2 linked regions of the Arabidopsis thaliana genome follow. The protein of the gene in region 2 binds, or shares a complex with, the protein of the main gene of each other region. Each region holds a gene or a part of one and is shown on either strand. Other genes may lie near its edges. The genes, in order: TMM and EPF1. A codon is read from its position in the direction of its gene.

Evidence for each region.
Region 1: the proteins of EPF1 (region 2) and TMM are in contact, whole or in part, in a crystal structure (PDB 5XJO), measured with the Arabidopsis thaliana proteins. Residues at the interface, in NP_179684.1 of Arabidopsis thaliana: Arg56 (codon at 2,327), Asp59 (codon at 2,336), His62 (codon at 2,345), Ala63 (codon at 2,348), Gly65 (codon at 2,354), Ser66 (codon at 2,357), Lys93 (codon at 2,438), Pro102 (codon at 2,465), Val103 (codon at 2,468), Pro104 (codon at 2,471); in NP_178125.1 of Arabidopsis thaliana: Trp73 (codon at 1,517), Ile77 (codon at 1,505), Pro78 (codon at 1,502), Arg82 (codon at 1,490), Gly83 (codon at 1,487), Arg84 (codon at 1,484), Trp85 (codon at 1,481), His86 (codon at 1,478), Tyr98 (codon at 1,442), Asp111 (codon at 1,403), Thr112 (codon at 1,400), Ala113 (codon at 1,397).

Annotation. Positions count from the first base shown.
Region 1 is NC_003070.9:30,127,831-30,131,761, forward strand, and holds the start of TMM (Leucine-rich repeat (LRR) family protein), read right to left. Parts: upstream 1,820-3,931; 5' UTR 1,734-1,819; coding exon 243-1,733; 3' UTR 1-242. Other genes in the region: CBSX4 (Cystathionine beta-synthase (CBS) family protein), read left to right, coding at 2,388-2,501, 2,597-2,865, 3,179-3,422, 3,499-3,603, 3,684-3,931. UniProt on the Arabidopsis thaliana protein: Promotes cell fate progression in stomatal development. In leaves, needed to correctly orient spacing divisions, to limit the number of asymmetric divisions in neighbor cells, and to promote the asymmetric (amplifying) divisions of meristemoids.
Region 2 is NC_003071.7:8,982,273-8,985,654, reverse strand, and holds EPF1 (epidermal patterning factor 1), read left to right. Parts: upstream 1-1,840; 5' UTR 1,841-2,075; coding exon 2,076-2,163; intron 2,164-2,249; coding exon 2,250-2,476; 3' UTR 2,477-2,792; downstream 2,793-3,382. Other genes in the region: AT2G20870 (cell wall protein precursor), read left to right, coding at 2,994-3,382. UniProt on the Arabidopsis thaliana protein: Controls stomatal patterning. Regulates asymmetric cell division during guard cell differentiation. Mediates stomatal development inhibition. Not cleaved by the protease CRSP (AC Q9LNU1).

The sequences.
Region 1 (3,931 bases), on a different chromosome or scaffold from region 2:
ATTTCGAATAAACGCCAAATGTACAAAACATGGAAGAACAAGCAATACAAGTCTCTTATCTCCGGAAAGATAAAACAGAGATCAAAGAACAGAGTATATAGACAGAAGGAACACGTTCGAGCTTACAAGTTTTTTTTGTAGCCATAAATGGTGGCGATATTCAATCCAACTAATGCAGAAAAGGCATCTAACTAACATTATTAAACTCGGGAAGTATTTACAGCAGTTTTATCATCCCTCCTCTAACTAGATATTAGCATAAAAATGAAATTAGGGAATACAAGAAAGAATGCAGAAAGATAGGAGAACCCCAAAGACTTGGAAGTGCTTGACACGTCCGTAGCTCCGTCCGGCAAAGCACCGTCTTCTTCTCTAGATAGGTGCTGGACCGTACCGGAAGGAGCTGGTCTCGACGTTTCTGCATCACACAATCTTACAGTTGAACCAGATTTTGAACCGAATGCATCATCCAAGTCACTGTCCCGGTTAACACACAAACCAGCATTGTTATACAGCCTCAGCTTTCTCCTCATCCTCCACACTGTGTCTCTCTCGAACGGTACTGGTCCTGTCAGACTGTTATCGTTGAGCCTCAGCTCGCTTAGATGCTTCACGTCCCGGAACTCCAAAGGAATCTCTCCGGTCAGATTATTGCCCTCTAGGTGAAGGACCCGAAGACTGTTTAACCGAGTCAATGATTTCGGTATCGAGCCCTGGATGTTCGTATTCGAGAGAACAAGAATCATCAAGTTCTTGAGCCCTTTGAACGCGTTTTCAGGAATCGTTGTTGAGAATTTTGTGTTGCCTTTGAGCATTAAAGCTTGAAGAGAGTTTAGGCCTTGGAGAGAAGACGGGAATGGACCTGATAACCGGTTATAGCTCAAATCCAAAAGCACTAATTGGTTGAGCCGGTTAATCGATTCTGGGATAGGACCAGTGACTCTGTTTCGGCTAAGATCGATTTTGATCAACGATCCACAGCTTGTGAGTGTGGGTGGAACCGGTCCGGTTAAAAGATTCTGGTTCAAATCCAGAACGCTCAGCGCCGGAAGAACAAAACCGGGAATGGAACCAGTCAACCGGTTACCACTCAAATCAAGCGATCTTAAACCGGAGAACCGGTTGAACGACAAGGGAATGGAGCCGTTGAGGTGATTTTTATGCAAATCAAGAACTTTCAAATTGGTGAGATTGCCCAATTCGTCAGGGATAGGTCCCAAAAAACCATTCTCCCTCAGAACCAGCGTTTGCAGACTCGAGCCGAGGCGTCCCAGAAACGCCGGTATGCGCTGTGGGGCGCGGCCTAAACATCGGTAGAAGAACAAGGCTTTGAGGTGTTTGAGCCTCGTGAGGGACTCAGAGACGTAAGAGCGTTGTGGATCACAAGTCGGAAACGCCGTGTCGTCTGAGAGCGCTCCGAACGACAGAGAGACCACGTGGTAGACGTTATCCTGGTCCGGCATACACTCGATCCCGTGCCATCTCCCTCGGCAAACGTCTGGAATCGCGGCAGCCCAGTCGTTGCCGGTCGCACGCATAATGTCGTAGACGGCGTCTTGCTCGTCAGGCTCCGTGCGAGCGCCGTCATTGGTCATCGTGAATCCAGTTTGTGGGCCGTCGATCAGAGCAGATGGGGCCGTCGAGTCGGAGGTGATCACAGTGAAAGATCTGACCAACGGAGAAACTATAGACAAGACAATGAATATTTGGCGGAAGAATTCATATCGTGCCATTTCTTAGTTGTTGTTGTTGTGTGAATGCGGTTTAGGTTCGAAATTGTCAGTGTGTATATGTATAATTCTGAAGAAACAATTGGTGGGTCCATAAAAACGTTCGCAATGTCTTTATGACTTTCACGGGATAACTCGAGGAGCGAAATAAATAAAATTCATGATTCTCGATTTCTGCATTTATTGCTTTCACGAGATATTCCCTTCATTCGTCTTGTGTTGGGCCCTAGATCCGACCGCTTCGTGAACGGGACCCGACGTCTCCTTATCGTTTACTTTTTTTTTATTTGGGCTGAGCCCATTTTCCCATTTACGATATGTTGGGCTATTATTCAATTTGTATTTTGAACTGGGCACTGTATTTGTTTTTGTAACAAACCGTAGATAGCAATTGATAAAAAGTTTCATATGTTTGATTCTGAACCTTAAAATCATTATTTTGTTGTAACACGAGAATCTGAATAAACGGACGCGTGGTCTGTGCATACGAAAAGCACATGCCCATGGAGCAACACATGTAATACGTGTCATCTTACTAGTAACATGACATATATGAATAATGAAGTAACTACGAAAGCATCAAAACAAAGATTAGAAGTTCATAAGCCTCGTCCCATTTTCTTTGAGACTTTGACTATCACCCAAATACAAATCTTCATGCAGTCGTACAGCCGTCTGATGCAGTTCAAGGTCAAAGATCTGATGATCGACAAGCGGCGGCTGGTCGAAGTTCCTGATAATGCCACTCTAGGGGACGCCTTGAACACTATGGTAAACCACGGCTAAATAATTGTTATTTTTTTGGTTGGAGTCAACCGTTTTAAGTATCAAGAATTACTAACAAGACTATTCTTGGTATCAAACCGGTGGCAAACCGAGTTAGAGCTGTACCGGTGGCTGCCAAACCAGGCCAATGGCTGGGAGCCGGGGGATCAATGATAGTAGAGTTGGACAAACAGAGCGGAAGTGCAAGAAAACAGTACATAGGAATGGTGACCATGCTCGACGTTGTGGCTCACATCGCCGGCGATGACGGCGAGAGTGGGCTTGATAAGAAAATGGCTGCCCCTGTCTCTTCTATCATTGGTCATTGCCCTGAGGGTCTTAGCCTCTGGTCTCTCAATCCTAATACCAGGTTAATAGTATAGAAGATTTGTAAAATTAAATTGCTTTCAGTATAATTAATCCTTCCCTTTTATAATGTTAGATGTTGTACACTTTTCTCACATAGTAAGAATTCTTTTGCAACACCTAATATATATACCCATATTTCAGTCATTAATTGTTTATAGTTTCATATTTTTTATAATTCAAACTAAATGATAAATTAGAAATTATAATGCAAATTTTTCATAGAAAAATGCAAAACATTTTTCTCTTGTCAAAAATCTTAACATTATATATGAACGGATAGAGTACTAATCAAAGATGGTCATTGATGAAAGCAGCATCATGGATTGTATGGAGATGTTGAGTAAAGGAATCCACAGGGTATTGGTTCCATTGGACAGTAATACAGAAAATATAACAGGACCTGAGTTGGTAGAGTCAGCTTCTGCTTACGCAATGCTGAGTCAGATGGATCTCATCTCTTTCTTCTTCGACCAATCCTCTCAATTGCATGGTATCCTCTCCCACACCGTCACTGATCTCTCCGCTATTCACAACACTGTTTTAGCCCTCACTAGCCAGGTAAATTTCACAAGTCAAGAATTTTCATCTTTATTCATTAAATCCTAAGTTAAACGCTTGTAATGTTTAATACCAGGCTAGAGTGAAAGATGCAATACAATGCATGAGTATAGCAATGCTCAATGCGGTTCCTATCGTCGAAGCCTCTGGTGAGGGAGAGGATCATAAACAGCTCGTCGACGTAGGTGTCTTTACTTATACATGTATCTATCAGTATCTATTAAGATCAAATGTTGATTAATTTGGTGTTTGCTGGTGCAGGGGAAAAATCGGAGAGTGGTGGGGACATTCTCGGCTAGTGATCTGAAGGGATGTCATTTAGCCACATTGCGTTCGTGGTTGCCGCTAAATGCACTAGAGTTCGTCGAGAAAATCCCAAGAACTCTCTTGTTCACCGCTGCTACCTCAACACCAGGGAGGGAGCTCGTGACGTGTCACGTGACATCAACCTTGGCCCAGGTGATCCATATGGTCACCACGAAACGTGTACACAGAGTTTGGGTCGTGGA
Region 2 (3,382 bases):
TTGTCGTCAAAGTCAGCTTTGACTTTGTTTTTTTTTCTCTTATTTTTCTGTATACCCCACCTACAAAAGACATAAACAAAACCGACCAAACTTGAAACACACAAATTAAAAAAAGCTTATATGATAGTATAAGTTATATCTCATCCAACTTAACGTATCAACTAACTCAATAGAAAAAGAATGTACCCTACCCATGTCAGTATCACCATACATTCATAATATATATAACTTCTTTTAGAATTTATTTAAATTTTGGATGGCTGTTTCGATACATAACCTTCTAATAAGAAGTGTAAAGGCAGGCGTAAAAAAAGATTCGACCTTAAAAAGTAATTAATTTCAAGTCACATGAATAATAATTAAAATGATGTAATAACAAAATAACGAAAACATCTAAATAATGCTAAATAATTATAAAACGCTAAAAATACATCGTTTTTAACTATATTTTTAATAAATGTATTCAGAAATATTAAATTATTTTTCCAATACGATAAAATTAGATAAATGTTATGGATTTTCTTATCATTCACAACAAGGAAAAACTCTTGGATGGTAAACTGAATGGACTTTCAAGGGTTGAAAAATGGAATGTTTTCTGAAGCAGACCGATTTTATACAAGCCCCTCAATTCGCATTAGTAAAACCGATGTCTCCTTGCATAATATGGATTCCAAATATGTTATAATGTCTATTGACATGAAGAACTTAGAAACCTTGGTACATATTAAGATGACGTGGACGCAAGGAGGTGCCAAGGTGGGAGGCTGAAGTCTTAAACTTTCGGCAGATAAAGATAAACAAACTCCAAAACAAAACAAAACAAAAAGAAAACAAAGACAAGGGAAAAGGTTCGTGTTAGAAGAAAAAGTCAACAGCTTAAAGCTTAAAAAGTCGGTGAATGAATGGGTCAGCTCTCTCCACTTTCATTATCTCTCTATGCTCTATCTCTCCAATCATAAAACTTGCTATTCCAATTAAACTTATACACTATCCATTAGTATTTTATGTAGTATTCTTATTAAGATATTTTAACGTGGTCCATCATTCTACTTAATAAGTTTTTCTCTTCTTTTAAATTTATTGGCAGCAGTTTGAGAAAACGATTAGATTGATTAAGAATGCAACGAATGTCAAATCCCAAACCATTATCTTATACCAGTTATATTATGAGTGCTTCATATTTATATATTAACTTGCCAAAGTTTTGAAGATTATACTATGAAGGCTACTCAAAGGGACATTGATTCCTAGAAGATGATTTTATGATGTTAAGCCGTTGACTTTGGTAACTAAATCATTTGACCTTTGATGTTTCTGCCCCCTTTAGCAAATAGAAACTTAATAAGAAAATTTTCATTGAAATTTAGCATCCCAAAGAAAGGTGTAGAAAAGTTATAGTGTAATGTGATTGGTGAGGTGCATGTTCGACACTCTTCAAATGTTGATTGAAACTTTTTTTTGTGTGCAAAGTTGATTGAAACTTTAATATTTTTTCATTAATCGCTTAAAGTGTAGTAGTGTCAAAATATTGAGATGTCAAGTATAGAACATACTATCATTTTCAAAACAATTGTGCAATTTCAGTATAATCAGTATTTAAATCATTAATAACCTCATGTGTAATTAACTCTATTATATTATCGATTTTAAAACACAAGCCCCAAGACAATGTCCCTCATTCTATCTCATCAAATGCTCAACTTTTTTTTTTTAGTAAGAACATTAATTGGGTGCATTAATGAAGGTCACAGAAAAGAAGGGTTATAGAGGGTAAATTAAAGGTGATTGCACACAAAAGTATGTCTTTCAGTTTTTCACAGAGGAAGCTCATGACACTCACCAAAGCAGCACGAATGAAGTTCAAGTTCTTAATTAGGCTTCACATACTCTACATCATCTCCTCAAAATTTATATCATTTCATATGTTCGATCTTGTTTTCATGTGACTCTCTCCTCTTCTCTACCGTGAGTCTCTTCAATTTCCTAACCCTTTGTTAACGATCATATATACCTTGTTTCTCGCCGTACTATTTCATCCCAAATTTTACTTTTACCACTTGCGATAATATATCATGAAGTCTCTTCTTCTCCTTGCCTTTTTCCTCTCTTTCTTCTTTGGCTCTCTCTTGGCTAGGCATTTACCAACATCCTCCCATCCAAGTATGTATCTATGCACATCTTTCTTACTCCAGCTCTTTCACTATCTTCAAGATCTCTAACTTGTTCATGTCTGCGTGCATGTGCAGGTCATCATCATGTAGGAATGACCGGGGCATTGAAGCGTCAGAGGAGGAGGCCGGACACGGTGCAGGTGGCTGGGTCTAGGTTGCCAGATTGCTCACACGCGTGTGGCTCGTGTTCTCCATGCCGTCTTGTGATGGTTAGCTTTGTGTGTGCATCCGTCGAAGAGGCTGAGACTTGTCCAATGGCTTATAAATGCATGTGCAACAATAAGTCCTACCCTGTCCCTTGATCAGCCTCTTCTACACTTATTCTATGCATTCAACCGTTTTGTTTTCCTTTTGCTTCTCCGGGACATGACCATGTGTACGTATACAATGCATCTTTAATTAGTTTCTTTCTTATTATTAATAGGAATCTTAAACACAGTTTGATCCGAGATTAATTAATCAGAAAATATATGGATATCAAAAAATGAAAGCCACTCACCTATTTGGGCTCTCTCGCTGTATTATGGTCCATGAGGCCGTATTTAAGACAGCAACAACAAAAGTTGTAGACAGAATTATATTTAAAAGGCAACAACAAAAGTACGTATACGTTGTTACCACCAAACTTTGGAGGCTCGCTAATAATAACCACACTACCCATTTGTTACACACCCTTTATTTTCAACCATATCATCTCACCTTCGTTAAATGTTCCCACAATTAGCTCAGTATTTTACTATATACATACACACACATTCCCTCCACAGGATCAAACAAACACACGAGCTTTCTCCTCTACAACAAAATAAAATAAAATTAATGGCTTCTTCACTTATCACCTCCGCAGTCATTGTCGTGGTTTTAAGCCTAGTGCTTGGATCTGTAGAGCAAGTGAGTGGACTACGTCACGTTCCCAAGTCCCCTAAGACCACTGATGTCAAACACCCTGACTTTCTTGTAACCATTGAGCCCAAACCAACTATTCTCATTCCCGGTGTTGGAAGGTTCTTGCTTCCTCCCAAATGCAAGAAGCCGTTCTACCCTTACAATCCTGTCACCGGAGCTCCACTTACTGGTGGGGGAATCCCATCATATAATGGTGGACAAGGGGCCGGACCTCACACCCAACTCCCTGGTGGCGATGATACGCTTGTCCCAAACCCCGGATTTGAAGCGCCAACCCCGACCATTGGAGCTGGCACCGGAAG